Ovis aries: one gene and its partners. The protein of the gene in region 7 interacts with the protein of the main gene of each other region in a pairwise test. Links are inferred from orthologs where the notes say so. Each region holds a gene or a part of one and is shown on either strand. Other genes may lie near its edges.

Region 1 (4,079 bases), about 160 Mb from region 7:
AGGCTCCTCTGTCCGTGGAATTCTCCAGGCAAGAATACTGGAGTGGGTTGCCATTTCCTCTTCCAGGGGATCTTCCCGACCCAGGGATCGAACCCAGGTCTCCTGAATTACAGGCAGATTCCCTGCTGATCCCCCTACCACTTTTCTTGCTCCTTTAGGCAACGGAGGGGGAAGCAAAATTAGGTCTTCTGAGACCTGATGGGGATTTTAAAGGTTCATCTCTTGATCTGCACAACAACCTTGTGAACTGAAGAATTATAAGCAAGCAATTGTCCAGCCCTTGCTGCATACTGGACCCTGCTGGGTCCCCATCGCTGGCCTGGAAGGCTTTGGATTGCGTTTTTCTTGGTGGCCGGGGTCGGGGATGGGGGAGCCCTACTCTACCCATTTTTTTATGTTTAATTGTAGGCACATGGGGTTGTCTTTAAATTCATCTCTAAACGTTTTCCACTTCCTTCAAGACTTGTCCCTGACGAGTGTCAGGTGGGAGAGACTCCCAAGCCCACGTGGTGGAGGGTGGGGGCGATGGGAGACCAAGGCTGCCACCTGAGCGGCTGGGACTGGCGCACCCCTTCACGACGAGCTATCCAGAATCACGAAGGCATCAAGGCTCCACCCTGGGCCTCAAGGTTGTGGACGTTCGAATGCGAGGCCCAAGGCCAGACGCTACTCCTTAGAAAAGTGGCCCCAGCCTTGGGCTCATTCCTGTTAGATTCAACTGACAGTAACAGAGCTCTTGACCCAAGATCTTGCGTGGGTTTGATTATCCCCATTTTACAGATGTAGAAAGTAAAGTTCATTGAGTCCATCAAGGCAGAAAGTGGAAGCCCCAGTAGGCTGCAAGGGCTAAGGAATCGTCCCCATCGCCCGTCAGGGTGGGTGTGGTCCAGTCAGCCTGGGGAGAAGGTGAAAGCCAGGCCCAACCGTGGTCCGACCCAACTCCCACCCAAGTCGGGGGCACCGGGGGTCCTTCCTGGGAGCTGGGCACGGATCCGGCCGGTGTGTGCTCGCTCAATGGGCGGAGCTAGGACGGCGCCCAGCGGCCGCGAGCGGGATAGCAAGGCGGAGCTGGGCCGGGCCGGGAAAGGAGCTTCCGGGCCTAGGGCTGAGATCGGACTTGGCTGCCGGTCTGCGCCCTCCAGTCCTGCGGAGCTGTCCCCGCAAGGCACCCCTAGCTTGCGCGCCCAATCGCACCGCGATCCTCCGAAACCGCAGAGGGCGCTGTCGCCGCCGCCGCGATCCCTTCCCCGGGGCTTGAGCGGGCCGGAAGCGCGCGGGTGACTTCCGGCGCGTAGCCCCGGGTTGGGCGGTGCACCGGGCCGGGCGCGGGGCGGGGGACTGGACCCAGCGAGCGGCCGAACCTGGTCAGGACCGCGGGCTCCGCGACGTATCCCAGTCGACGTCTCGGCCTCGGTGGAAGGTGCGGCCGCCGCCATGCCGTTCCTGCATGGCTTCCGGAGGATTATCTTCGAGTACCAGCCGCTCGTGGATGCTATCCTGGGCTCCTTGGGCATCCAGGACCCCGAGCGGCAGGAGCCCCTGGACGGGTAACTCGCGCCCTTCCCCGCCTCAGACCGGCGCGGCACCCCTTTCCTTGTCCCCACAAATATGGCGGGCGGTGTCCTCATCTGTCAGAGGAGACCGAGGGCGGGCGGGGATGGGTGGAGGCGGCCGCGGCCCGCTCAGGGAGGCCCGTGGGGCGGGGTGGCGGCAGGGCCTCTGCCTCAGCGCCCCACCCTGCGCCCTGCCGGTCCTGTGCCCTCTACCTGGAGCTGCAGAGGAGCAGGATGTAGTCGGTAAACGCGGCGCGGGATGAGCTTTCTGTAGCCCGGAGTTTCTCGTTTGGTATAGACAGGCGCGCGTCTGTCATACGTTAGCCTGTGGGAAGGCTGTTCAGAAAGCGCATCGTTTAGAGGTTACATCGGCGAGCTAAAACCCTCACCCTTCGTGGTGATCGTGCTACCAGAGAGAGGCTGACAGTGGTTAAAGTGGTATATACTGCCTTACGTGGAGTGGAGAAAAGAGCCGAGGAGAGGGGGGATCGGGGGTGTGTTTTGGGCATCAGTTGGAATTGGCGAGGGGGGGTAGGCGGGTTGGGGCTGTGGTGCAAAGGGCTTTCTGGGTCCCTCAGCCTTTGGTGGACCAAACCGTCTCTGAGTGTGATCGGGCTTTGGGAGGTCTTCTGACCGCCCTGGCTGCTGGGCGGCCTGAGCTGGGGTGCAGCACCTTCTGCAGCCCCGGGTTAGTCGGTGTCTGGTTCTTGCCTTTGGCCGCAAGGGTTCCCTTCAGTGCCAACAGCGCAGGTGTATGAGGCTTTGTACCTAAGTCAGGGGCCAGGTTGTATGGGTGACTTGGAAGGAGGTTGATGACAGCCCCAGTCCTTTCTCAGCAAACCTGGAGTCTGCTCCATTGAAAAGATCCAGCTTGGTCCACCAACCTTTTCGGAAGAGACTTTCTGCCCCATGGAGCCAGGGCCCTGCCTGGGGTGGGAGTGGGGGCGAAGTGGGGGTGACTGCAGGAGACCAAGGCCACTTACCCGCAGGGTGCCCTGCCAACCTGTCCCACCCTCAGCTGCTCCTCTCTCCTGCCCCAGGCCCAGTTATGCTGCCAGCGAGGAGAGCCGCATCCTTGTTCTCACCGAGCTGCTGGAGAGAAAAGCCCACTCTCCATTTTACCAGGAAGGCGTGAGCAACGCCCTGCTGAAGATGGCCGAGCTGGGGCTGCCGCGCGCAGCCGCTGTGCTCCTGCGGAATGGAGCCAACCTCAACTTTGAAGGTCTGCCGGAGCCTGGAGGGCTGGGGTGGATAGATGGCTTGAGTGTGGCCTGCCGGGGGTGGGCAGTCAAGCCTCCAGGCTCTGCCCTCATCTCTTCAGGGGTGATGCCTGAGGAAACCCACACTGGGTGGCCTCCCACCCCCTGCAGTTTCCCAGAGGCCCTCAACCACCTCTGATCAGGAGCAAGTTTGTCGCTGCTCCTATCAGGCGACTGACTTAGCAAACTTTCCCCCAGCTCCCAGCTAAATCCTTGCTTCCATTAATGCAAAAATGGGGCTGCTGGCACTGTGCCCAGAGCTAAGGGAAAGTAATTTTCTGCCGCTGGTTCTGAGCCATGTTGCATGCTGGTTCCTGCCACAGGGAGAGGGGGGAAACAGATAAGACACATTGGGCATAAATCACGGACTGATGGTGTTGGCGTCTAGCTGGTGTGCCCGGGAGGTGCTGATGGAGCCATCTTCCTTCCCTCTTTGTTTTGCCCTGGGTGGGGGGTTGGGGGGGCAGGCAAGGTCAGCCGGGAGACACTCGGGACTGACTTGTTCCCGAATGGGGTTTTTGTGCTGATACAGGACGTGCCAGGCGTGTCTCTCCTCCCCTTTGGAGGACAGGCTCAGAGGCGGCTGGGCTCCTGGGAGGTCAAGGAGCGGGGGAGGCGTTCTGCAGTCAGTCACTTGGGAGACCCAGCTTTGAGCATTTGTGGGTGTTCCTCCCCACAGCCTTGTTTTAGGTCCTATTTTACAAAAGGGACTAAAACCCAGATTAAGTACCTTGTCCGTTCACTGGAACACCTCCCCAGGACCCGAACCTAGGCCTGACTGAGCACCCTAGCGTCTGACGAGGACAGCTGTGTCCTGACCCCTCACGGTGCCAGGAGCCCTTGGGTCGGAGCGTTGGGGCTAGGCTGCCAGGCTGGTCCTGGAATCCTGTGAGAATGTGCCGTCGGGCAGGGCTGATGTGAGCTGTGTCTGCGCCTTCAGACCCGGTCACCTACTACACGGCGCTGCACATCGCCGTCCTGCGAAACCAGCCTGACATGGTAGAGCTGCTGGTGCGCCACGGGGCCGACATCAACCGGAGGGACCGGGTAAGAGCCAGCCCTGCTCTGAAGGAGGCATGTGGCCGGGGCCCTGAGCCGCTCACAGGCCCCAGGGCCAACCTGGCTGTGCTTTCTTGGCTCAGATCCACGAGAGCAGCCCCCTGGACCTGGCCAGCGAGGAGCCGGAGCGCCTGCCCTGCCTGCAACGCCTCCTGGACCTCGGAGCAGACGTCAATGCGGCCGACAAGCATGGTGGGTGCTCCTGGGA
Region 2 (4,007 bases), on a different chromosome or scaffold from region 7:
CCAAGAACATCTTGGACCTGATGATTCTTTGTGGTGGAGGGCTGCACTGTAGGTTGTAGGTTGTTCAGCAGCAACCTGGGCCTCTACCTACTAGATGACAAAAGCAAACTATGTCCCCACCCATCTCAAGCTGTGGCAATCAATACTGTCTCCAGATACTGCCACACATCCCAATGGGAAAAACTGCCTCCGAAGGAGATCTACTGGTCCCAGGTGCCTTGGATGGAGGGGTGGCTTAACAATTAAGAATTGACTTAAAGATGATGAGGCTGAAGTTACATCACTCTCAAAAGCTGTGTGATGGGCCCAGCTGCCAAAGATAGTAAAGACCAAGCAGGCTTTCTGGGACTCCCATAAAGGAGAGGAAATGTTCACACATAGTCTAAGGCCACATATGTGAAAGGAATTAGCAAGAGGAAACTACAGCAATAGAGCAGTCTTGCGCTCATGCTATATCGTGCCCCACCCTCGTGAATTCCTGAATGGGTAAAATTTGAGCTCTTGACGCACACAGATTATTGTCGATCTCAGGAAAGTTACTTATTCTCAATCACGAACAAAAACAAGTCTCTTTTGTTCACTGTGCATCCTAAGTACCTAAAACACTGAGACTGGCCGACAAAGCAACAAACATTTGTCCAGTGAATGAAAAGGACTGTTGTGAAGAGTAAATACAATAATGCATATTAAGCCATTAGGGAAGTACCTAGCTTATGGCAAATTTTATTATTTTTACATGATTATTTTAAAAATTATTATATAATTATTTTAAAAGTTATTATTCCATTAGTGACTCCAAGAGGTCTAGCCATAAGACGAAGGCTACAACTTCCCAAAGGGCAAGGAACTCCCTAGCCTAGAACTGCAGCTTTCAAGTTTGACTGTGACTCACAATAAAAACTAGGCTAAAAATAACAGCCCAATACCCACATAAAAACATGTAATCAACTGAAATAAAAGTTCGCTACCTTAGAATGTATAATGACCTAACTTAACTGACTCTTTTACTCAACTTAGGAACTAAGTCGGCCTTACTATTGTATTCCTGCTGCTGCTGCTGCTGCTGCTGCTGCTAAGTCGCTTCAGTCGTATCCAACTCTGTGCGACCCCATAGACGGCAGCCCACCAGGCTCCCCTGTCCCTGGGATTCTCCAGGCAAGAACACTGGAGTGGGTTGCCATTTCCTTCTCCAATGCATGAAAGTGAAAAGTGAAAGTGAAGTCACTCAGTCATGTCCGACTCTTTGAGACCCCATGGATCGCAGCCTACCAGGCTCTTCCATCCATGGGATTTTCCAGGCAACAGTACTGGAGTCGGGTGCCATTGCCTTCTCCATTGTATTCCTAGCACCTGTGTTTTGCATCCCATGGGTTCTTAATGTTTTTAGTACAGATAAATACAAAGAAGGCCCCCATCTTTGAGTTTCCTATCAGTCTATGGCAAACCCTACACACTAGAACCTTCTTTCATCCTGGTTAAGGGAAGGCCATATGTGCCTTCTCTCTTCTCTATCCCCAATTACCTGTAATTCTAAGATCGAAGGCCTAACATTGGTGCTTCTCCTCGCTCAGACACCAATGTACAGCAGAACAAAGCGGTGGTTAGGAGCTTCTGGCCCCAGTGCCAGAGGCACTCGGATGAGCATCCCAGCTTTACTATTTACTAACTGCCTGAGCACAGGCAATTTGCGTGAGCCTCAGTTTCCTCACTTGAAAAATGGGATTAAGTGAGGTTAAGTCACAGTTGTTGAAAAGATTTTATGAGATAATGTATGTAAAATCCTTGCTGCTGGCACCTACTAAGTTTACAGTGTAACTCCTGCTGCTTTCTACCTAAGGAAAACTACAGTGGAGGGTCAATGAGCTTTCTCCATTGCTTTTCTGTTCTGCTTTGGTAACTTTTACTAAGTCCACCACTGTCATGCCTAGCTGATAAGGGAAATGCCAGAAAATGGTTTTTTGACAGAGAGAGGTCCCACTGCAACAGATGGAAAGGGGGTAAGGCTGTCACATCCCCAAATACCATTCTCTTAAGGAGAAAAACCCCCTTTCTCACTGATCCTAGATTATTAAATACCCAGTTTTAACATCTCTAGGCCAAGAAAGAGCGCCACTGTGCCTCTTACAGCCTCTCTCCTAGCTTGTCCAGGATAGTGTCACCAGCCGCCAGCTGCTTGCGCCTCAGCCGCTCCTTTAGGTCTGGGAAGGCCCGAAGTGAGGGCACATCCTCAAATCGCAGGTTCTGTGTGGCTTGCAGCTGCTCTGCCAGGTTGCTGAGGGAGGCCAGGAGGGGCGGGCAGTCTCTCAGAGCACTCTGCCACAGGCCCTGCTGCTCGTCCACCACAGGAAAGCACTTCCTCAGGGCCTCCTGCACGGCAAGCAAAGGCTGATCTTCAGTCATCTTCTATTGTAGGGGTGAAAACAAAAACAAAACCCAGGAAAAAACAAATATCATTAGGGTCCCAAGTCGACAGGCAAAGGGCCGAGTCAAGGGTGGGAGTTATTTCCGTTCTCAGAGAGGTCCAGCTAAACAAAGTTTGCTCATGTAGGGCCGTCCATCCCTCCCGACAGGTGTTTCTAGCGCGAGTCTTACCTTCAGAGAGGCTCAACCTACCCCTTGGCTTAGGGCAGTTTCAGACTGAAGGTTCACTGGGCCGATCCGTGCTTCCGGAGCCAGAATCTTATCTCCTCTACTTGAGGTTTCCGGCCGCTCTTCTAAACCAGCGGGAAAACAAAACTAAAGCAATAACACTTTAAGGAAATTCCAAGACTCCGCACACCTCCGCTGTGTCTCTGCGCATGCCCAGACGTGGTTACAGAGTCGCGAAAAAGATGCGGTCGGACCGCAATGCCTTCTGGGTGCTGTAGTTTACGTGTGGACTGGCTGCCCAATTGCGAAGCTTCTCTGTGATTGGCTGTTGTGAAACCCTCCTAAGACGGCGGCTTTTTATTGGCCAGCCTTTGGCAGTTTGAATTTGGTGGCGGCGGTCTCACGTCGCTTTCGTCCCGGAGCGGCTCCTTCTCGGCTGAAGCAGCCGGGTTTTTCCTCAGCCCGGGTTTCAGAACCTGCAGGTGGGTGCCTCGCGAATCCTTTATTCCTCGGGCCCGGAAGGGCAGGGGTCCCCAATTCAAACCCCCAGGGGGGCCCTCCACCCTCCCTCGCCCCCTTGCGGCCCCCTCTCCTTCACCATCTCCGCCGCTGACGCCTTGTGCCTCCGCCCCTAGCTCCCCGCAGCCTCCATCGAAGGGCCATGGCTCCGTCTAGGAAGGGCGGCAGTCGGGTGGCTAAGACCAATGTGCTGCGGAACCGAAAGCTCGCCTCCTTTCTTAAGGACTTCGACCGTGAAGGTGAGGGGCGGAGCCCGGGTGGTCGCGGTCACTTGGGGGCAATCGCGGGGTGCTGGAGGACTGGGACGCGGGCAGCAGGGATTCCGGGAACCTTTTCCCCGCGGGGTGACCCGTGCCGTGTCCTCTCTGCCCTCTCGCAGTGCAAATGCGATCCAAGCAAATTCAGTCAGACAGGCAGAACCTCCTCAAAGAGTTGGATAACCTGTACAACATTGAGATCCTGCGACTCCCCAAGGCGCTGCGCGAAATGAACTGGCTCGAATACTTCGGTAAGAGCTCCTGGTCTTTCCCCAGGCCTCGGCCTGGAGCCCTTCTGTGGTTACCATGGCAGCTTTTATCTTCTCAATGAGGTCTTAGAAGGAAATTGCAGGCCTACTCCTCCCCGATCCGTCTCACCTCCCTGCTTTTCTTCTTAGCACTTTCCCTCATCTTCCTCTGCAGGCAGGCAAATATTTTCTCTAAAGGAGGAGATAATAAGTATTTTAGGCTTTGTAGGCCAGAAGGTTCTCTGTCCAAACTACTCATGCTGTTATAGTTCAAAAACAGCTGTAATGAATGGGCATAGCTGTTTTCCAACAGAAATCTATTTATGGAAACACTGAAATGTGAATTTGACAGATTTCAGATTCCATGTGTCATGAAATACTCTTTTTTTGAGGG
Region 3 (3,500 bases), on a different chromosome or scaffold from region 7:
CACCTCCAAGAAGCTCTTCAGCTCCACCTTCAGGTGGCGCTGTCGGTACTTGCTCTCCTCGATGTCCGTCTTCAGGGACCGCACTTTGTCCTCCAGGTTCTGATTGTCTCTTTCCGCCGCCTGCAGCGGAAGGAGAGAGGGCGGACTGCTGATACAGTGGAGGGCAGTCCGCCTGCCAATGCAGGGGACGCGGGTTCGATCCCAGGTCTGGGAAGGTTCCACAGGCCTCGGAGCAACTGAGCCCAGGCACCACAACTACGGAGCCTTTGCTCTAGAGCTGGGGAGATGCAACTAGTGAAGCCCCCATGCTCGGCAGCAAGAGAAGCCACCGCAGTGAGAAGCCCGTGCACCGCAACCAAGTGTGCCCCTGCTCACGACAACCGGAGAGAGCCCAGCACAGTAACGAAGACCCCGCGCAGCCAAAGGCAAATTCATGAGCGACAGAAAGAAGGGTCTGGGAACAAAGCAGGAGCCCACTGAGACCTGTGATAGTCAGTCAGTTGGTCCCCGCGGTAGGCCTGCCTCTGGAGGTGTCAAGTGCTCCCCCACCCCCGGAAATCAGGTGTGTGCCCCTCCTTCCTGCTGTTTGCCAGCAGCGATCTCATCTTAAAACGATGCCCACAGAGAATGCAGAACTCCGAGTTCTGCCCAAAGCAGCCTGGTGCCAAGCGATGCTTTCATAAAGTGCCTGGCAGAGGAAATCTGACATCCCAGCCTATGGGGTTTTCAGCCCCAGGCCCAGGGTTTTCAGCAGGGGCCCCTCTGGGTTCCATTCTGGGGGAGAAACAGCATGCATGGGAGAGTGACTTGTCTCCCCTGAGAAGGCAAGGCCTCCTTGGCCCCAGGCCAGCTGCTGGCTGTCCGTGAGGGAGCATTGGCCGTGCCAGACGCAGGGACGGTGGGTCTGCGCACCGGCTGTCCTGTGGTGTTGCCATGGAGACAGTCAAGCTCCCAGTGGCGGGACTGCTGTGAGTCCTTACGTGATCATTCTTCATAGCAAACAAGAGCTTCCATCTTGTGGGGATAAAATGAGGCCTTCTAAAAATGTGTTACAGGAACCAGTTACTAACACTGAGCCTGTGTGCCTGAACAAAGTGCTCTAGAAGTGAGGAGACCCTCGGAGGTGAGGGAGGACCTGAAAACACTCCCTCTGTGGATCAGAAATCTGAGGCCAGGAAGAGGCGTGCCTGCCCAAGGTCATATCCAAGGTCTCTGGCTGAGGCAGTGGAACAGTCCCTGGTCTGAGGCTCTCCCTAGCCCCTCCCTCTGTCCCCTGCTCCTTCCTGGCCCTTCTGTGGGTCTGCAGGGACTTCTGCTGGCAGGAAACAGCCTCCTGCACTACAGTTACACACATGACACCTTTGTATAAGTGGAAAAACAAAAAGGCAGACACAGCTGAGTCTTCCCCTGGAGGCAGAGCAGGCAACCAGCAAGTAGTTACACTGGCTGTTTAGGGATCCAAAGTCACTCTTCTTCACCAAGTGAGGCGAGAATGGGAGAGGCCTCGGAGAAATGGGTAACATGACGGATGCCTTCACACCTGAGTCAAAGTGCATGTGCTCCCCGCTCTTACCTCTAACTTCTCAGAGACGTATTCACACTCTGACATGAGCTGAGGTATGATTTCACTTTGTTTTCGGAGGTCTATCAACTCCTACAGGGGACAGAAGTTTGAAGAAGAATATGAGAGCAAGTGAGATAAAATGTATTCTTGAAAATCCCCAACTTTGTGTGTACAGTCATGGAAGCAGCTTTTGGAACCTGTGTTGTCCGTGTAAATAACGGTGATGATATTATACCTAACACACATCAGGTAATTCTAAAGGCTGATTATGTCCCGTGAATTAAAGCATGAAGCCTGCATACCACCATGAAAAGAGAAGCATGATTTCTCTTTTTGTAGGGAAACTGAGGCTGAGAGAGGACTGGTAACTTGCCCACAGTCTCCAGCCTCTGTGGACAGTGAGTCCCCTCCATACGGACCTTCGAGCTGCAGACTTACACAGATGAGAACGTGCATTCGCACGTCCACTTGCGTAAATCAGTTCATGTGCCTGGTGTACACTGGCACGTGCAAGCATCCTCCACACGTGGCTGAGCTTTTGTGTCCCTTACTACACAGGACTGTATAGAGGACAGCAGTATAGTATCTTTATTTCAAGTCCAGGAGGTCCAGAAGCAAGTGTCAAAGCAGTGCTGAGGTAGCTGATACTACTGTACTTTTCAAGGTACTAAACCACAAGATTAAAAATGTTTTATTTTTTGGGTTTGCTTTTTATGTATTATTTGTGTGAAAAGTATGATAAACCTATTACAGCACAGTACTACGTAGCTGATTGTGTTAGTTGGGTACCTAGGCTAACTTTGTTGGACTTAGGAACAAACTGGACTTGTGAACATGCTCTCGGAATGGGACTCGTTTGTGCAGAGGTGAGCCACTGTACTTAGCTGTCCTGTCCCCCCAGGAGATAAATGACTGTGTGACTGGGGGTTCTTGCTGCATTAATTTGACAGCAGAACTCAACTTCTGATGAGGGACCATCTACGAAAGTTTCCAAGAGCGTTTGAAAATGCCCAACTCCTCCTGGATCTGAGAGACTGTCTATATATAATAAACACAAGGAGGCTGCACGGGGTGATGGTCAGGCCTTTGCTCTGGGCTCTTTGTGCCTTGGTGTGGCTCCTGGCTCTGTCTCTGTGCTGCTGTCTGGACAGCTGCCAGGGCCGATCACACGTCCCACGGCCACCTGCCGTGTCCCTGGGTGGAGACCACCCGCCAAGGCCGAGGGGATGTGAGCAGCACGGCTCAGAGCTCTGCCACTCACCGTCTCCTTTTCTCGGAGCTCTGATTCTAGCTCCTCAATCCTTCTCTTCAACTGGGTATTCTTCTCCTTCTCTCTGTTGATCTCGCTGCACTGCTCTTCCAGCTCGTCAATCTTTAATAATAAATATCACATGTTAAAGCAGGGGTGCCAGTTTACTTTGGGCTTCTCTGGTGGCTCAGACAGTAAAGAATCCGCCTGCAGTGCAGGAGACCCAGGTTTGATTCCTGGGTTGGGAAGATCCCCCGGAGAAGGGAATGGCTACCAACTCTAGTATTCTTCCCTGGAGAATTCCATGGACAGAGAAGCCTGGCTGGCTGCAGTCCATGGGTTTTACTTTAATCATTAAACAAGAGATTGCCACAGCTCTTTTAAAATAAACCCTAAATTAACCCACTTACAAATGTTTCCTTGTGGCTACAAATGAATGCTATGGGGCTGCCCCAGGCTGTTTGCTCATACTGGCACAAGGCACCTCACTTAATGCTAGAGAAGCCATGGAAGTCACACAACCTGGCTTCAGGATGCTCCAGGATTCTGGTTTTCTCTCGCAGCCGCAGGACAGTAGTTCTAGGTTTGCTTTTAAGGATCTGTCACAAATAGGGGCTACATGTCCCATGAATCTGTCTGCTTCTCCCCAGAATGACGTTCACATTACTTTAATCATGCCCTGAATGA
Region 4 (4,179 bases), on a different chromosome or scaffold from region 7:
TATTGGAATGGGTTGCCATTTCCTCCTCCAGAGGATCTTCCCGACTCAGGAATCAAACCTCCTCTCTTGCATCTCCTGCACTGGCAGGCAAGTTCTTTACCACTAGTGCCACCTGGAAAGCCCATGATTGATTATAGGATCTCCAAGTTTCCTTCCAGTTCACAAATTTTATAAAGTCAGTTTCATTTCTCTTTCACTTATCATTACACCTCTCCACTTCAGAAAAGCTCTGCTCAAACATTTAATTTGGATAGATTTGACTGAAGGAACTCAATTTCTACCCTGTTGTATTTCTCCAACCACAGCTGCAAGAGAGGGTTATGCATCACAAGTTGCGACCAGAAACAAGAGTTTTATAAATAGGAGGAGAAAACCGGAAAGAATTAAAAGTGTCATAGCCCAAAAGGAAGCCCTAAAGGAATAGCTCATGAAAGGAGAATTGACTTTTGATGTGTCATCAAAAGGGAAATGTAAAAAAAAGCAAAAGGAGTGGGGACGGAACGGGCATCCAAGACACAAGGCATAATAAAGAGAGGTTTTGCACCGCACCCCTGACGCCGCAAGCGGCAAGTGAACCTTCGGCTGTTTGCCCTACAAACTTTGGGAAACTTCAGCAAAAAGCCCACCTCCAGGAATGTGCTGGGACCCAAACATGGGTTGATGAGATAAAGTTGTGAGAGGTCGCGTTTTATCCAGGCCAGCACCTTGTCCCCTACCCCAACTGACTTCAGCCCACTTCACGAAGGGTCCGAGGCTGAGCCTGGCTGCTCGCAGGACCCGCCAAACCCAGCCCAGCAGTCTTAGCATCAGATTCTGTCAGGGGCTCCCGCAGAGGGCGCGGGAACTTCGGACTGGCCCCGGGGCTCACCGCAGTCCTTGAATTTCACCGGCTCGGCCAGGGCGGAGGCACTGAGTGCCAGGAACAGGAACGAGACGGCCAAGAAACGCATCGCTGCTGAGGCTCCAAGCTCAAGGAAGGGAGAACCAGCTGTCTCGGTCACAAGATAAAGTCTTCAGGGACGGGCCGGGCCTGGGGAGGAGCCCAGTCAGGCGGCTGGTCACTGGCCAGCGGGGCCGAGGCCTGTCCGCGCCCCGCCCCCGGGTCCACGGAGCCAGACAAGGGGTCCGAGACTCTAGCAAACTCCGCCCATCCGCTCCGCTCCGCCGCAGGGCAAGCGGGATCCATCTTCATCCGGCGCTCCGCCTGGGCTTTGTGGGTGCGTCCCCACTTCCGCAATGGGAGCATTTCTAGCCAATCAAGTCCCTTCTCCTTCCACATCTCCCAATAGATGTGCTTGGGGGCGGGGTTTCCGTGGATCCCACCTCCCGAGGCCCAGGCGCGGAAGGCGATTGGGGAACTGTGAGGGGGCGGAGCCTGCAGAAGAAAATGGCGGCCGTCCGGGGGCTAACAGCTGTGGCCCTGAGAGTGGTGACTCCCTGGCAAAGGAGCAGGTAACCAAGCCTAAAAAAGCACCTGGTTAGGCCCTCCAAGACTCAGGAGAACTAAGGCTCGCTGGGGAGGTGAAGGTTTGGCGTGAGGCTGTTAGGGGAAGGGACTTCAGGTTTGGCGTGAGCTGTCCGGGTGGGGGAACTTCAGGTTTGGCGTGAGGCTGGCCGGGTGGGGAGACTTCAGGTTTGGCGTGAGGCTGTCCAGGTGGAGGCACTTCAGGTTTGGCGTGAACTGTCCGGGTGGGGGAACTTCAGGTTTGGCGTGAGGCTGGCTGGGTAGGGAGACTTCAGGTTTGGCGTGAGGCTGTCCGGTGGGGGGACTTCAGGTTTGGCGTGGGGCTGTCCGGTGGGAGGACTTCAGATTTGGCGTGAGGCTGGCCGGGTGGGGAGACTTCAGGTTTGGCGTGAGGCTGGCCGGGTGGGGAGACTTCAGGTTTGGCGTGGGGCTGTCCGGTGGGAGGACTTCAGATTTGGCGTGAGGCTGTCCGGGTGGGGAGACTTCAGATTTGGCGTGAGGCTGGCCGGGTGGGGAGACTTCAGGTTTGGCGTGGGGCTGTCCGGTGGGAGGACTTCAGATTTGGCGTGAGGCTGGCCGGGTGGGGAGACTTCAGGTTTGGCGTGGGGCTGTCCGGTGGGGGGACTTCAGATTTGGCGTGAGGCTGGCCGGGTGGGGAGACTTCAGGTTTGGCGTGAGGCTGTCCGGTGGGGGAACTTCAGGTTTGGCGTGGGGCTGTCCGGTGGGAGGACTTCAGATTTGGCGTGGGGCTGTCCACGTGGAGGGTTCTAGGTGCTCTTCTGCTCCCAATCTCATCCACCTCCCTTGCGCAGCAGGATTCTCACGGCCTCCCGCGGACCCCGGGCGCTTCGGGAAGTGTCGTCCTCTAGCCCTGAAGCTGGCGAAGGGCAGATCCACCTCACCGACAGCTGCGTCCAGGTGAGAAGCCGGTCGCGGGGCAGGGGTGGTGGTGGGGGGAGGGGGAGGATTTCCTTTTGGTCCACCCTTCTTTCTCTCCTTGCCTGGCATTCTTGACTCTCCTTCCTGCATTTCAGAGGCTTCTGGAAATCACCGAAGGGTCAGAATTCCTCAGGCTGGAGGTGGAGGGAGGTGGATGCTCCGGATTCCAGTACAAATTTTCACTGGATACAGTTATCAACCCCGACGACAGGCAAGGAGAAAGGGGTGGGTCCTCCGAGAATGTGCAGGAGGGATAAAAGTGTCTCCAATTTAAGATGCACTTTTATTCCACATTTAAAACTTCTGCTAAGGATAACATTGCACCACCCTTCTCACACAGTGGGGATACAGTGAAGATTTGTTGCCTTGATTCAAAATAACTAAGTCATAGGAGGAAAATTGGCCTAAGTCCATAGGGTCATTGGTAGAGAGTCAAGCTGGACTAGAAAGTTTCCAGGCCTAAATTTCTATAATTTCCCAGTACTCTTTCCATTAGATCTTTTTGCCTCAGAGAAAATCAGTACCTGTTAGAGGTCATAAGGGAAGCTTCCTCAGTATTTTAGAAAACAGGATGGGCATCTCTGGGCTCAGAGGGTGTTATGTCTCTGGTGTTTATGATGTTCATTAATGCCTTCCTCCCTTCTTTTCAGGGTGTTTGAAAAGGGTGGGGCAAGAGTGGTGGTTGACTCTGATAGCTTGGCCTTCGTCAAAGGGGCCCATGTGGACTTCAGCCAAGAACTGATCCGAAGCTCATTTCAAGTGTTGAACAATCCTCAAGCACAGCAAGGTTGCTCTTGTGGATCATCCTTCTCTGTCAAACTTTGATGTGATGACAAGTGACCCGGAGATTGCTATCATCTGACTGATTTGAGGAACCTGGGATTAGAACAATTCTAGAAGTTTCCTTCCTATCATGACCCTCTCTCAATTTTATTTTCCCTTAATTCAGGATGTTGTTTCACCACTATTTTCAGAATGTGAAACTTTTACTCTTGATTTAATTTCTCCTACACAGTTGTAAGGCCAAGCCTGTGGATGCTGTTACCTAAGGTTTAGTAACTGGTTGAAACCAGTATCATCTGTAGCACCTCCAAGGTTCCAGGAGTTAGTTCTCTGGCCTTCAGAGCTACTTGTACAAATGTGTATAGCTATGTATAAAAGCTTCGTTTTAAAGAAAGTCCTTATTTATTTGTGTTGTGGATCAGAATCACAGATTGCATAGCTTGAACACTGTGTTACTAGACCAGAGAGGATGAGAAAGCCAAAAGGAATGTTATCTTTTTGTTTTGCTATTTATTTATTTACTTACTTTTATTGAAGTATAGTTGATTTGCGGTATTGTGCCAATCTCTGCTGTACAGCGAAGTGACTCAGTTATATACATATATACTTTCCTTTTTATTTTCTCTTCCATTATGGTTTATCACAGGATATTGAATATAGTTCCCCTGTGCTATACAGTAGGACCTTGTTGTTGAAATGTTATCTTTTTCATCTCACCCTTCCTTAATGTGCTAGTTTACTTACCATTATTTTCTATGCACCCGATTCTTCGCTTCCCATTTGTTACAGCAGATACATTTTCTTCTCATACTTAGGAATGTGTTAGATTCACGAAACCAATAACCCATCACCCAGAAAAATTTCGAACTAAACCTCACTGATACTTGAATCATAAGTTTGAAAATAAGCTCCATACTCCATATTTGCACAAGACATTTCGTGATTCTTTGCTCATTTAGTGACTAAATCTTTTTAAAATATGTTGCTTTATT
Region 5 (3,500 bases), on a different chromosome or scaffold from region 7:
TGATTCACTTTCCACAGCAAACTATGTCACTGAAGGAAAGACTGTTTAATGTGAACTTGCAATTCACAAGTTGCACTGATGAAAGAAAAACAAAGATAAATATTTATCAACTTTAATCTCCAATTTCGACAAAGTAGTAGAAAACTAACAATAAACAGAGTTATTAGAGATGCCTCTAATCATCATGCAGTGGGAAACATTACACAGATAAACAGAATTACTAGCTTCTAAAATTAAGTGGACAGTAAGTAACTAATAAATGTGACCAATTTTTGTATTAATCACAGCTTGGGCTAGAATACAGAGTTGGCTGTTTTGTTAAGAGTTGTATTACTGTAGTGATTTAAGGAAACCCCATGTGCAGTCCTAACTTATAGCACATGTTTTAAGGTGATTATGAACTCACGACAGAGCACTTTTTAAAATGTAAGATTCTTCATATGCATTGGAAGAGGTAAATTTATTCTCAAGTATTCTGAGAATACCATTACTTAATAAAGCAAATTATAAATTTAAAATATGAAATTCACTTTACTATTTCTTAAGATGTTTTATACACACTGCGTTATTTCTATACATTAAAATAATAAATCTAGTTTCTACCATTATTAACAAGGAAATAAGTGAGAAGACCCAACAGAGTCAAAAGAAAACTGAGTCCAATCTCAACCTCTGAGGCTCAGAACTCAACAGGAAATCAAAGCTGAGGCCCAAGCCATGCTTCTATCAAAACTGAAATCAATAGGACATATATAACATGTTAAACCATAGTTCTAAACACTCTACGGCAAATAATAGTAGGACATATTAACAAGAATATACATAAAATAAGGAGTGAACAGTTTTTCAAAGGAAAGGAAGAAGTTTGCAAGAGGAAAAGTTTTCTTAGGCAGGAGGCATGACAGACTGGGTAAAATGACATGTAGGAATGAACATCTTGAATAGCATGAGTTTGAGGAACAGTAAGAATTTAGAACTGTGGTGTTGGAGAAGACTCTTGAGAGTCCCTTGGACTGCAAGGAGATCCAACCAGTCCATCCTAAAGGAGATCAGTCCTGGGTGTTCATTGGAAGGAATGATGCTAAAGCTGAAACTCCAATACTTTGGTCACCTGATGCGAAGAGCTGACTCTTTGGAAAAGACCCTGATCCTAGGAGAGACTGAGGGCAGGAGAAGGGGACAACAGAGGATGAGATGGTTGGATGGCATCATCGACTCGATGGACATGGGTTTGGGTGGACCCCGGGAGTTACTGATGGACAGGGAGGCCTGGCATGCTGCTGTTCATGGCGTCGCAAAGAGTCGGACATGACTGAGCGACTGAACTGAACTGAAGAATTTAGTAGATAGTTCAAATCATGGAGGAAGTTTTCAAACTAAATAATTTGGATTTACCAAGCAGGTGACAGCAGAGGTATTAATAGGTTTTTAATAGTAAAATGAAATAGGATTTGAACTTTATAAAGCTAACTGCTATCAGTGTAGAAGGTAAAGAGAAGAGGCTGAGGTAGGAAATTCCATCAGAGCAGTCAAGTGAGAATTTTTAAATATGTGAACTAAAGCAGTTAGAGAAGTATTATGACAGAGATATTGAGATATGAGAGAAAAGGAGACACAGAGAAGTACTCCATATCTGCGACTTGGATATATAAACAAGCTGTCTATAGAAGGATGGACAGGTTCACAGGGTTTATGAGTCTGCCTTCAGTTACGGGAATGTTGTACTAAGGTACCCATGGGATATTCATATAGAGCTCTCTGGTTCCAAACAGGTTTTTGGGTTTAGGAGAAAGGTCAAGCCTGACTATTGTTATCAACATACAGGTGACAACATCAGTGTGGATATGATCATCCAAATGAGAGTATAAAACAGAAAGTAAAAGAAAGGATGTAATAAGAACTGAGGAAGTGTATTTAAAAGGGAGGAGAGGGAATTCCCTGGGAGCTCAATGATTAGGACTCCACACTTCCACTGCAGGGGCGAGGGTTCCATTCCTGGTTGGGGAACTAAGATTTTAGAGGGCGGGCAACATGGCCAAAAAAAAAAGGGGGCGAGGGAGTAATGGTAGGAACTAAGAGGGAACAACCACAACTACAAAGATAGGAAGAGAAGTCAAGGGATGAAAAAAACTTCTGGGTTAAAAAAAAAAAAACCCCTACAAGGCTCAATAAATCCTAATGGTTTAGAGTAGGAGCTGGCAACCTTTCTTACAATAATTATTCAGGCTTTCAGACCATGTGGTCCCTGTCATAATTATTCAATTCTGCCACCTTCTGCTGTAAACAAATGGGGGTGTTCCAATAAAACGTTATTTACACACCAGTCTGGTTGTAATTTGCTAACCTCTGCCTTGGAAATCAAAGATTAGAACTGAAAAATACTGATTCCATTTGGCAACTACAAGGTCCTAGATAACTTTCACCATGCCACTTCAGTGCCACAGCTGGAACTGATTAACAGTATCATCAGGGAAAGATCATCACTGAATTAAAAGACAAATGGACACACACATGAAGTAAACTGTTAATCATAGAATCAAGACAGTAGGCAGATAAATGGATGTTCACTGTGTAATTCTTAAAAACGGCACAATATATTAGGAAAAAGCAACTGACTGTACTGGGTTTATTTAATACACCCAATTAAACTACTATGTTAAAAAAATCACTAAATTAGGTTTTCCCTATTATATGTAATATAATAATCTCACAGCAAGAAAGGAAACCATTTCCAGATTTAGTTTCAATAGACATATGCTTATGTCCTAACATTGCAAACCACAAGGTAAGGAAGTCTTTCAAAAGAAACCATCTTACCTGATTCGCCACCACTGCATCTTGTGGGTCGTCTGGTTCTGCAGCTGCCAGCAGAGCTTGTAATGACAACAATACCGTGCGCAGAGTCATCGCTGCCGCCCTAAAATTCAAAACCGGAAGATACCCCAGTTGAAAACAGTTTGCATGACAAAGTAGATGTTTTCTGAATAAATATGGAAACTACTGGAGCTAAAAAAGACTTTTATCTCAATCACATAATTAAGTCTTAGAAATGAATAATTATATATCTGCCTACCATACATATATATTTTTAAAAATAATATATATATAATACACAAATATATATATTTTAAAACAAGTAAATCTTTCCATTTCTTAAGATAACTCAAATTGCCTTAGCTTCCCTCCTGCCCCCATTACTGTTGCCAATATTCTGGTCAGCTTTATCTAGTGACTTAACTTTCTATCCATTTCTCTAGACATAAACTTAAAGGGACAAAGTAACATGTGAAACTTCCTTTCAGTGTAACTCTAAAAACAAGATACCATCAAGCAAATATCCTTTACTTTCAAGAAAGTATAAAATTACTTGGAGGGCATTATGCTTAAGTGATATGTCACACACAAAAAATATAATAACATTTAAATGTGTAATCTAAAAAATAAAACAAACTAGTGCCTATAACAAAAAAGTAAACACTAGTGGTTAGCAGTGGGAGAGA
Region 6 (4,234 bases), on a different chromosome or scaffold from region 7:
GCAATGATAAATTCTTTAACTTCAGTTATAATCCACTTATAGACAATTTCACAATTCTGCAATATGAAAAAAAATGCTGTAATGAACCCAGGATTCTACAAACATGTAAGTATTTTTAGTCTACCAGGCACCTAAAGGGTTGTTACAGTTTAGTAGTATGTATAAGGCTTCCCTGGTGGCTCAGCTGGTAAAGAATTCGCCTACAATGCAGGAGACCTGGGTACGATCCCTGGGTTGAGAAAATCCCCTGGAGAAGGGAAAGGCTACCCACTCCAGTATTCTGGCCTGGAGAATTCCATGGACTGTATACTCCATGGGGTCACAAAGAGTCAGACATGACTGAGCGACTTTCACTTTCACGACAAAAGGGGTTTCCCTGGTGGATCAGATGGTAAAGAATCTCTCTGCAATGCAGGAGACCTGGGCTCAATCCCTGGGTCAGCAAGATCCCCTGAAAGAAGGCATCGCAACCCACTCCTATATATTTGTCTGGAGAACCCCATGGACAGAGGAACCTAGTGGGCTACAGTCCATGGGGTCGCAATAAGCTGGACACGACCAAGACACTAACACACACATGACAAAAGGCTATAGAACTAAACGACAGTATTTACCTTCCAGGGGACTAGGATTATCAATAAATCCTACTAAATGCTAGTGGGGGTACTATGCAAGCAGCAGTTTATATTACTCTACACAGCCCACTGATAGCATCCTGAAAGAGCTCCATTAAGGCCCACAACATCACTGAAGATCTAATTAAAGAAGCTGCCTCATAAATGTTTAGAAGTCTAGATATGGATTTACTTTATTATCAAGTGGCTGTTTTAATGAAAAGGTCATAGAATCAATAAAAGTAAAATTGTTGCTATATTTACTCATGTCCCCTTTGAAGAAAATGGGCAATAAAAAGGTAATGGGTGATACTTAGAGTACTACAGCTATTTAAAGAAACTATTTTAAAAGCTTTCCAAAGGGACCACAGGGTGCAAATGATTTATAGGATTTGAGAATTTAACATTTTCCAGGCAGAGAGTTAAACAACACACAGACAATATTGGTGACCTATTATTTCTGTATTAATCCCAGAGGATAAAAAACAAAGGAAAATCAAGTCGCTTGATGGGTCCTAAGAACCAATCACATTCTTTAAATAAGAAATGAAAACACAGGGTAATCATATTTTGGGGACTATCTAAACAGATAACAGGAAATCTAAGAGAATATGGACATAACAGGTTACAAAGGTTTTCTCTGGGACATGAGATACCAAGGGAGGGGAAAAACTTTTTTTTTAAGGTATCTATTTCTACAATGAAAGAGTATAGTCTTTTTTTAAATTGAGACAAAATTGATACATAACATTGTGTTAGTCGCAGTTATGCAACATATTGGTCTCCCCCTGGCTCAATGGTAAAGGATAAGCCCACCAATGCAGGAGATGCAAGTTTGAGCCCTGAGTCAGGAAGATCCTCTGGAGAAGGGAATGGCAAAAACCCACCCCAGTATTCCTGCCTGGAGAATCCCACTGACAGAAGAGCCTGGTGAGCCACACTCCATGGGGTCGCAAAAGAGTCGGACATGATTTAGTGACTAAACAACGAAGACAACACGTCGGTTGAATGTTTGTATATACTGAGAAATGGGCACCACAGTGAGTCTTGCTGACATCCATCACAGTTAAGCAAGTTTTTTTCTTGTGATGAGACCTTTTAAGATCTGCTCTCTTCACAGTCTTCAGATATACGATACAGCATTATTAACTCTAATCACTATGTTGTATACTGCATCTCTACAACTTACTTACTTTGTAACTGGATATTTGCACCTGCTTGAACATTTCTAACAATGAGGAATCTACTGCTTCTTGAAGTGGTCCACACCATCCATCAGATAGATTCAACAGTTGTGGTATTAGAATTGCTCCTTAAATATCCTTCCTGAAGACCATACTTGGTAGAGGAACTACCAAGAGAAGTTTTGCAGCTCTGGCTGCTACAAAGGGTCATGAGGGCTCAGAAATGGTAAGCCTGCTGTCTATTTTCATGGGTTAAGCAGAGATAATCACTCCCCTTTGAAAGCTGAAACCTTTAGGAATGAACACTAAATATCTTCATCTGCATTCAAAAAGAATATATGTGATGCTGTAAGACAAACTTGTCTTCTAAATCCCATTAAGACGATTAAACTGTCATTAAAGAAATATAAACTGTAATCTAATTAACTGCAATGAATCACATCTCACAAGGGAAGGTCGTCATTATTCACAAGTGCTAGTAGTTGGGATAGGTCTTTAAAAGCAGCAGAGAGAAAGAACATCAACATCCCATAAGTTTCAGAGCAGGAACCCTGACTGGCCCTAGGACAGAGTCCTAGCCCCTGTTGAGTGTGGAGGGGAGGGAACTGACATTTACTTCCTTGAATCCACCTATATTGGTGCAAGGTGACTCTCTCTGAATAAATGAAGCAGCTGAGATTCAAAAAGGTTTCACTGCTGGTACAGTAAAGCCAGGACTCAAACCCAGGTCTACTGAAGCCCAATGCTTGAGTCTATCCAGCTCTGTGGGTTCATGACTTCAGGGAGGATCACCCAACCCCCCAGATCCCGGTATTATATTCCCTACAGAAATTTCTAATACAGCTTTTCTCAAAGAGATTTGCACTAAGAAAAGAAACGAGAGATTCTGGCTCACCTGGCAGTACTGTAACTGTTCCAATAAACAGGAATAATGAGTAATTACAGCAATAGTGGGAACAACTGCCAACACTAACTGAGCCTTCACCGTTCCAGGCACTTCTCATTCCACAGTCAATCCTCAGTGATCTTGTCTAATCCATGATTTTAAATGCCATCTGTTGCCGTGCTGTGCTAAATCACTTCGGTTGTGTCTGATGATGTGCAACCCCAGGGACAGCAGGCTGCCAGGCTCCTCTATCCATGAGATTCTCCAGGCAAGAATACTGGAGTGGGTTGCCATTTCCTCCTCCAGTGTATTTTCTGACCCAGGGATCGAACTCACATCTCTTGTCTCCGGCACTGGCAAGAAGGTTCTCTACCATTTTGCAGTTAGTTCAGTTGCTCAGTCGTGTCCGACTCTTTGCGACCCCATGGACTGCAGCACGCCAGGCTTCCCTGTCCGTCACCAACTCCCGGAGCTTGCTCAAACTCATGTCCATCGCGAGTGATGCCATCCAACCATCTCATCCTCTTTCTTTACCACCAACACCATCCATATACCCATCTGTTGCCAATGACCCCTAAATCCACAGCTTGAACCTGGACCTCTTCCCTGAACTCCAGACTGATTTTTTTTTTCCAACTACCTTCCCCAAATCTCACTTGGATATCTGAAATTCAAACTCCTGTTTCTAGCCCTTAATCCTGCTCCTCCCACAATGTCCCATCTCAGCCAAGTGGCAGCTCCATCCTTCCAAGATGCTCAGGCTGAGAGCCTTAGAGTCCTCTTCAACTCCTCTTGCTCTCACACTCCACATCCCACCAATTCATCAGCAAATGCTGTCAGCCCTATCTTCAAAATACACCCAGAATCTAATCACTTCTCACCATCTGCCACTGCTCCCAAGCACTCCAAATCTACTCAATGCATTGATTAGTGAGTAACCTGAATCACATCATTTCAATCCTCAAAATAACCCCATGAAACAAGTGCTCTTATTTCCTCCATTTCACAAAGGTACATAAAGGTTAAGTATAAACTAAGAAACTATAGTTTATCAATCAGGTCTTTTTCCTTTTTTGGTTCAAAGAGTCAGATCCCCTGAGCCTGATCTTCTGGTCAAAGGGGTCTGATTAGTTTACAGATTTACAACGACTTGGTCCCAGCCAAGGCCCAGGGCAGGAGTCAGCCAGCCTCCTGGAGCGCGGCAGCACCAACACCAGTCTGACCACGAGCTCCTCTCTGAAATCCCACCCAGGTCCCAGTGCCAGGATTCCCACTAGTTTTCAAACTACATGTGTTAGTCTCTTTTTATTCAGTATCAGCTCCACACTTTTTTTAAGACTTAAAAAAAGGAACTTGTTGGAAGGTCACATAATGAATCACTGAAAATCAAGTTAAGAAATGAAGCCCTCACGTGCATACCCAGAAGACAAAGAACCCTTTTCTGTATTAAAGAATTCTGTCTTTGAAAAGCAATCCGTGTTTTTGAAAGTGGAGTCCCCTGGGAAGGGTCCATTGAGGTTCCAGAAGGGCCTCTGAGGACAATATTACTG
Region 7 (2,198 bases):
AGTGGATACTCTGCCTATGCATAACAGCGAATCAGACTGGAGCTCTTCTTGTTCCTCATTATCCCATCAGTGACATTCATTTATTTACCATTTATCAAATGCCTTCCCTTGGAGGCACTTTGCCAAGCACTGAGGGTACAGCTGGGATTGATACAGTCGTATCCTTGTCTTCATGAACCTTCCAGTCTGGTTGTTCCTCAGACCTCTCGATTTCCTTCATTTTGTCTTTCATCCATTGTCTGTCTTAACCATTATCCCTTGTTCTCCTTCCCTCCGACAGAAGCGAGACATTCAGCTGCTCAAGGCATACATGCGTGCAATTCGCAGTGTCAATCCCAACCTTCAGAACCTGGAAGAGACCATTGAGTACAACGAGATTCTAGAGTGAGTGTCATTCAGGATGTGGAATCCTCGTTCCATGTCCTGACACTGAGCCCTGAGGAGAGAAGAGCAGGGAAGTGGCAGAGGGGGAGGGTAAGAAGAGGGCTGGGCCGGGGCCACTGCTCCTCAGATGATGGGATGAAGAACACGAGGCGGAAAAGAAGGGGATCACCTTCAGCCCCAGTACAGGATCTCATATTTTTGGTGGATGGAACGGAAAGCTTACCTAAGAGTTAGGTGGGTACCCACATGCACAAAACCCTGTGTTAAAAGAGAAAATATTGTCCCTGTCTTCAGGGAGTTTACAATTCAGAGAAGAGAGTGCAAAGATCCAGGAAAGTGATCTAAAATGTGGCAAAAACAAGTGAAGTCTAAGATCCCTTTCAGTTTTAGAGTTCTACATAGTTCATAGACTAAACTGTGAGTCAGTCTATACAGTGCTGCAAGGGACACAGAATAGAGGAATCATTGCTTCATTCGGTATTCATTTTTGTTGAATACTTACTACCTGCCAGGCACCATGTGCTAAGTATTGGAATTTTCAGAAGAAACAACAGGAACCCTACACTTGTGGGGTTTAATCCGGTGAGGAACACGTGCTGACACTCAGATGGGACCACCTAGGGAAAGATCTGGAGTTTCTGAACCAATGGTGGAAGGAAAGAAGGAGGAATCAAGTTAGGCTGAGGGCAGAGCAGGCAGTCGTTACTATTAGGAGGAAAGCCAGTGCAGAGAAAGGGGCTGACCTTCACTGACCCCCTCCAACTCCCTCCACACAGGTGGGTGAACTCCCTGCAGCCTGCACGAGTGACCCGCTGGGGCGGCATGATCTCCACCCCTGACGCTGTGCTCCAGGCTGTCATCAAGCGCTCCCTGGTGGAGAGTGGCTGTCCTGCCTCTATTGTCAATGAGCTGATTGAAAACGCCCACGAGCGGAGCTGGCCCCAGGGTCTGGCTACGTTAGAGACAAGACAGATGAACCGGCGTTACTATGAGAACTACGTGGCCAAGCGCATCCCTGGCAAGCAGGCTGTTGTCGTGATGGCCTGTGAGAACCAGCACATGGGTGACGACATGGTGCAGGAGCCTGGGCTCGTCATGATCTTTGCGCATGGTGTGGAAGAGATATAGGAGATCTTGATGGGCTCTCTGGAAGAGATGAAAATCTGAAGATCCTGTCACTCCAGCAGCAGGGCCCCAAGTCCTCCCCACTTTCCTTAATACCGTGGCTTACCCTGGAGCCACACGTGTCCCAGCTGTGCCACCACTGAAGGGGGCCGCAGGGCACTCTGCTCAGCCTTTCAGGTGGGAAACCCAGATTCCCTCCTTTTGTCTAATTTGTTCCCCCAAGATGTCTGTAAATTTTCCACCTGATTGGGAAAGTCCCCATCTCTATTTCTGTTTTCCTGCCTAGGGTCCCTGGTTCCAGATATTTTCAGAAAGCACAAAGATACTCATTTTTGATAGAGGATCAGGATGGAGTGAGGAATCGCTAACTGTTCCCCTCCTCCAAAACCTGGGAATCCAGATGAGGCAAGTCTGTTGACTCTGAACAGCACTTAGAGGGCAGCTGTGGGGAGCAGACATCCTGAAGACATGGTAGAGTGGAACAAAAGCCTAGAAATAAATAATGAGGCCAGTAGGCCATCGCTGGCAGCCCTTAAGAGAAGACTGGACCTCGGTGCCAAGCAATACCCCCAGGCCACTTAAAGGTGTGGGCTCCTGCCGGGCCTGCGGGTGTACAGTTGGGGATGCCGAATATTTTCAGATGAGCTCTTCTTTCCTACACTTTCTCACAGTTAGGCAATGACAGGGTT

What was found.
Region 1: the proteins of RNF41 (region 7) and ASB6 interact in binary tests that used the Homo sapiens proteins (3 or more experiments, as listed by UniProt). The link is inferred for Ovis aries from reciprocal best matches to the Homo sapiens genes RNF41 and ASB6.
Region 2: the proteins of RNF41 (region 7) and AIRIM interact in binary tests that used the Homo sapiens proteins (3 or more experiments, as listed by UniProt). The two-hybrid records come from large-scale screens. The link is inferred for Ovis aries from reciprocal best matches to the Homo sapiens genes RNF41 and AIRIM.
Region 3: the proteins of RNF41 (region 7) and HOMER2 interact in binary tests that used the Homo sapiens proteins (3 or more experiments, as listed by UniProt). The link is inferred for Ovis aries from reciprocal best matches to the Homo sapiens genes RNF41 and HOMER2.
Region 4: the proteins of RNF41 (region 7) and ISCA2 interact in binary tests that used the Homo sapiens proteins (3 or more experiments, as listed by UniProt). The link is inferred for Ovis aries from reciprocal best matches to the Homo sapiens genes RNF41 and ISCA2.
Region 5: the proteins of RNF41 (region 7) and UBE2K interact in binary tests that used the Homo sapiens proteins (3 or more experiments, as listed by UniProt). The link is inferred for Ovis aries from reciprocal best matches to the Homo sapiens genes RNF41 and UBE2K.
Region 6: the proteins of RNF41 (region 7) and ENOPH1 interact in binary tests that used the Homo sapiens proteins (3 or more experiments, as listed by UniProt). The link is inferred for Ovis aries from reciprocal best matches to the Homo sapiens genes RNF41 and ENOPH1.

Annotation. Positions count from the first base shown.
Region 1 is NC_056056.1:6,876,127-6,880,205, forward strand, and holds the start of ASB6 (ankyrin repeat and SOCS box protein 6), read left to right. Parts: upstream 1-1,279; 5' UTR 1,280-1,434; coding exon 1,435-1,547; intron 1,548-2,593; coding exon 2,594-2,775; intron 2,776-3,752; coding exon 3,753-3,859; intron 3,860-3,954; coding exon 3,955-4,063; intron 4,064-4,079. UniProt on the Homo sapiens protein: Probable substrate-recognition component of a SCF-like ECS (Elongin-Cullin-SOCS-box protein) E3 ubiquitin-protein ligase complex which mediates the ubiquitination and subsequent proteasomal degradation of target proteins.
Region 2 is NC_056054.1:12,499,422-12,503,428, forward strand, and holds the start of AIRIM (AFG2-interacting ribosome maturation factor), read right to left. Parts: upstream 2,801-4,007; 5' UTR 2,614-2,800; exon of another isoform or gene 2,593-2,613; intron 2,404-2,592; 5' UTR 2,401-2,403; coding exon 2,126-2,400; intron 1-2,125. Other genes in the region: CDCA8 (borealin), read left to right, coding at 3,251-3,347, 3,488-3,616. UniProt on the Homo sapiens protein: Part of the 55LCC heterohexameric ATPase complex which is chromatin-associated and promotes replisome proteostasis to maintain replication fork progression and genome stability.
Region 3 is NC_056071.1:22,434,833-22,438,332, forward strand, and holds part of HOMER2 (homer protein homolog 2), read right to left. Parts: intron 2,937-3,500; coding exon 2,826-2,936; intron 1,655-2,825; coding exon 1,574-1,654; intron 121-1,573; coding exon 1-120. UniProt on the Homo sapiens protein: Postsynaptic density scaffolding protein. Binds and cross-links cytoplasmic regions of GRM1, GRM5, ITPR1, DNM3, RYR1, RYR2, SHANK1 and SHANK3.
Region 4 is NC_056060.1:83,866,196-83,870,374, forward strand, and holds the start of ISCA2 (iron-sulfur cluster assembly 2 homolog, mitochondrial), read left to right. Parts: upstream 1-1,379; 5' UTR 1,380-1,387; coding exon 1,388-1,452; intron 1,453-2,277; coding exon 2,278-2,383; intron 2,384-2,499; coding exon 2,500-2,615; intron 2,616-3,054; coding exon 3,055-3,229; 3' UTR 3,230-4,179. Other genes in the region: NPC2 (NPC intracellular cholesterol transporter 2), read right to left, coding at 869-950. UniProt on the Homo sapiens protein: Involved in the maturation of mitochondrial 4Fe-4S proteins functioning late in the iron-sulfur cluster assembly pathway. May be involved in the binding of an intermediate of Fe/S cluster assembly.
Region 5 is NC_056059.1:59,572,693-59,576,192, reverse strand, and holds part of UBE2K (ubiquitin-conjugating enzyme E2 K), read right to left. Parts: intron 2,918-3,500; coding exon 2,818-2,917; intron 1-2,817. UniProt on the Homo sapiens protein: Accepts ubiquitin from the E1 complex and catalyzes its covalent attachment to other proteins. In vitro, in the presence or in the absence of BRCA1-BARD1 E3 ubiquitin-protein ligase complex, catalyzes the synthesis of 'Lys-48'-linked polyubiquitin chains.
Region 6 is NC_056059.1:97,940,372-97,944,605, reverse strand, and holds the start of ENOPH1 (enolase-phosphatase E1), read right to left. Parts: upstream 2,801-4,234; 5' UTR 1-2,800. UniProt on the Homo sapiens protein: Bifunctional enzyme that catalyzes the enolization of 2,3-diketo-5-methylthiopentyl-1-phosphate (DK-MTP-1-P) into the intermediate 2-hydroxy-3-keto-5-methylthiopentenyl-1-phosphate (HK-MTPenyl-1-P), which is then dephosphorylated to form the acireductone 1,2-dihydroxy-3-keto-5-methylthiopentene (DHK-MTPene).
Region 7 is NC_056056.1:163,346,186-163,348,383, forward strand, and holds part of RNF41 (E3 ubiquitin-protein ligase NRDP1), read left to right. Parts: exon of another isoform or gene 1-280; coding exon 281-384; intron 385-1,160; coding exon 1,161-1,512; 3' UTR 1,513-2,198. UniProt on the Homo sapiens protein: Acts as E3 ubiquitin-protein ligase and regulates the degradation of target proteins. Polyubiquitinates MYD88. Negatively regulates MYD88-dependent production of pro-inflammatory cytokines.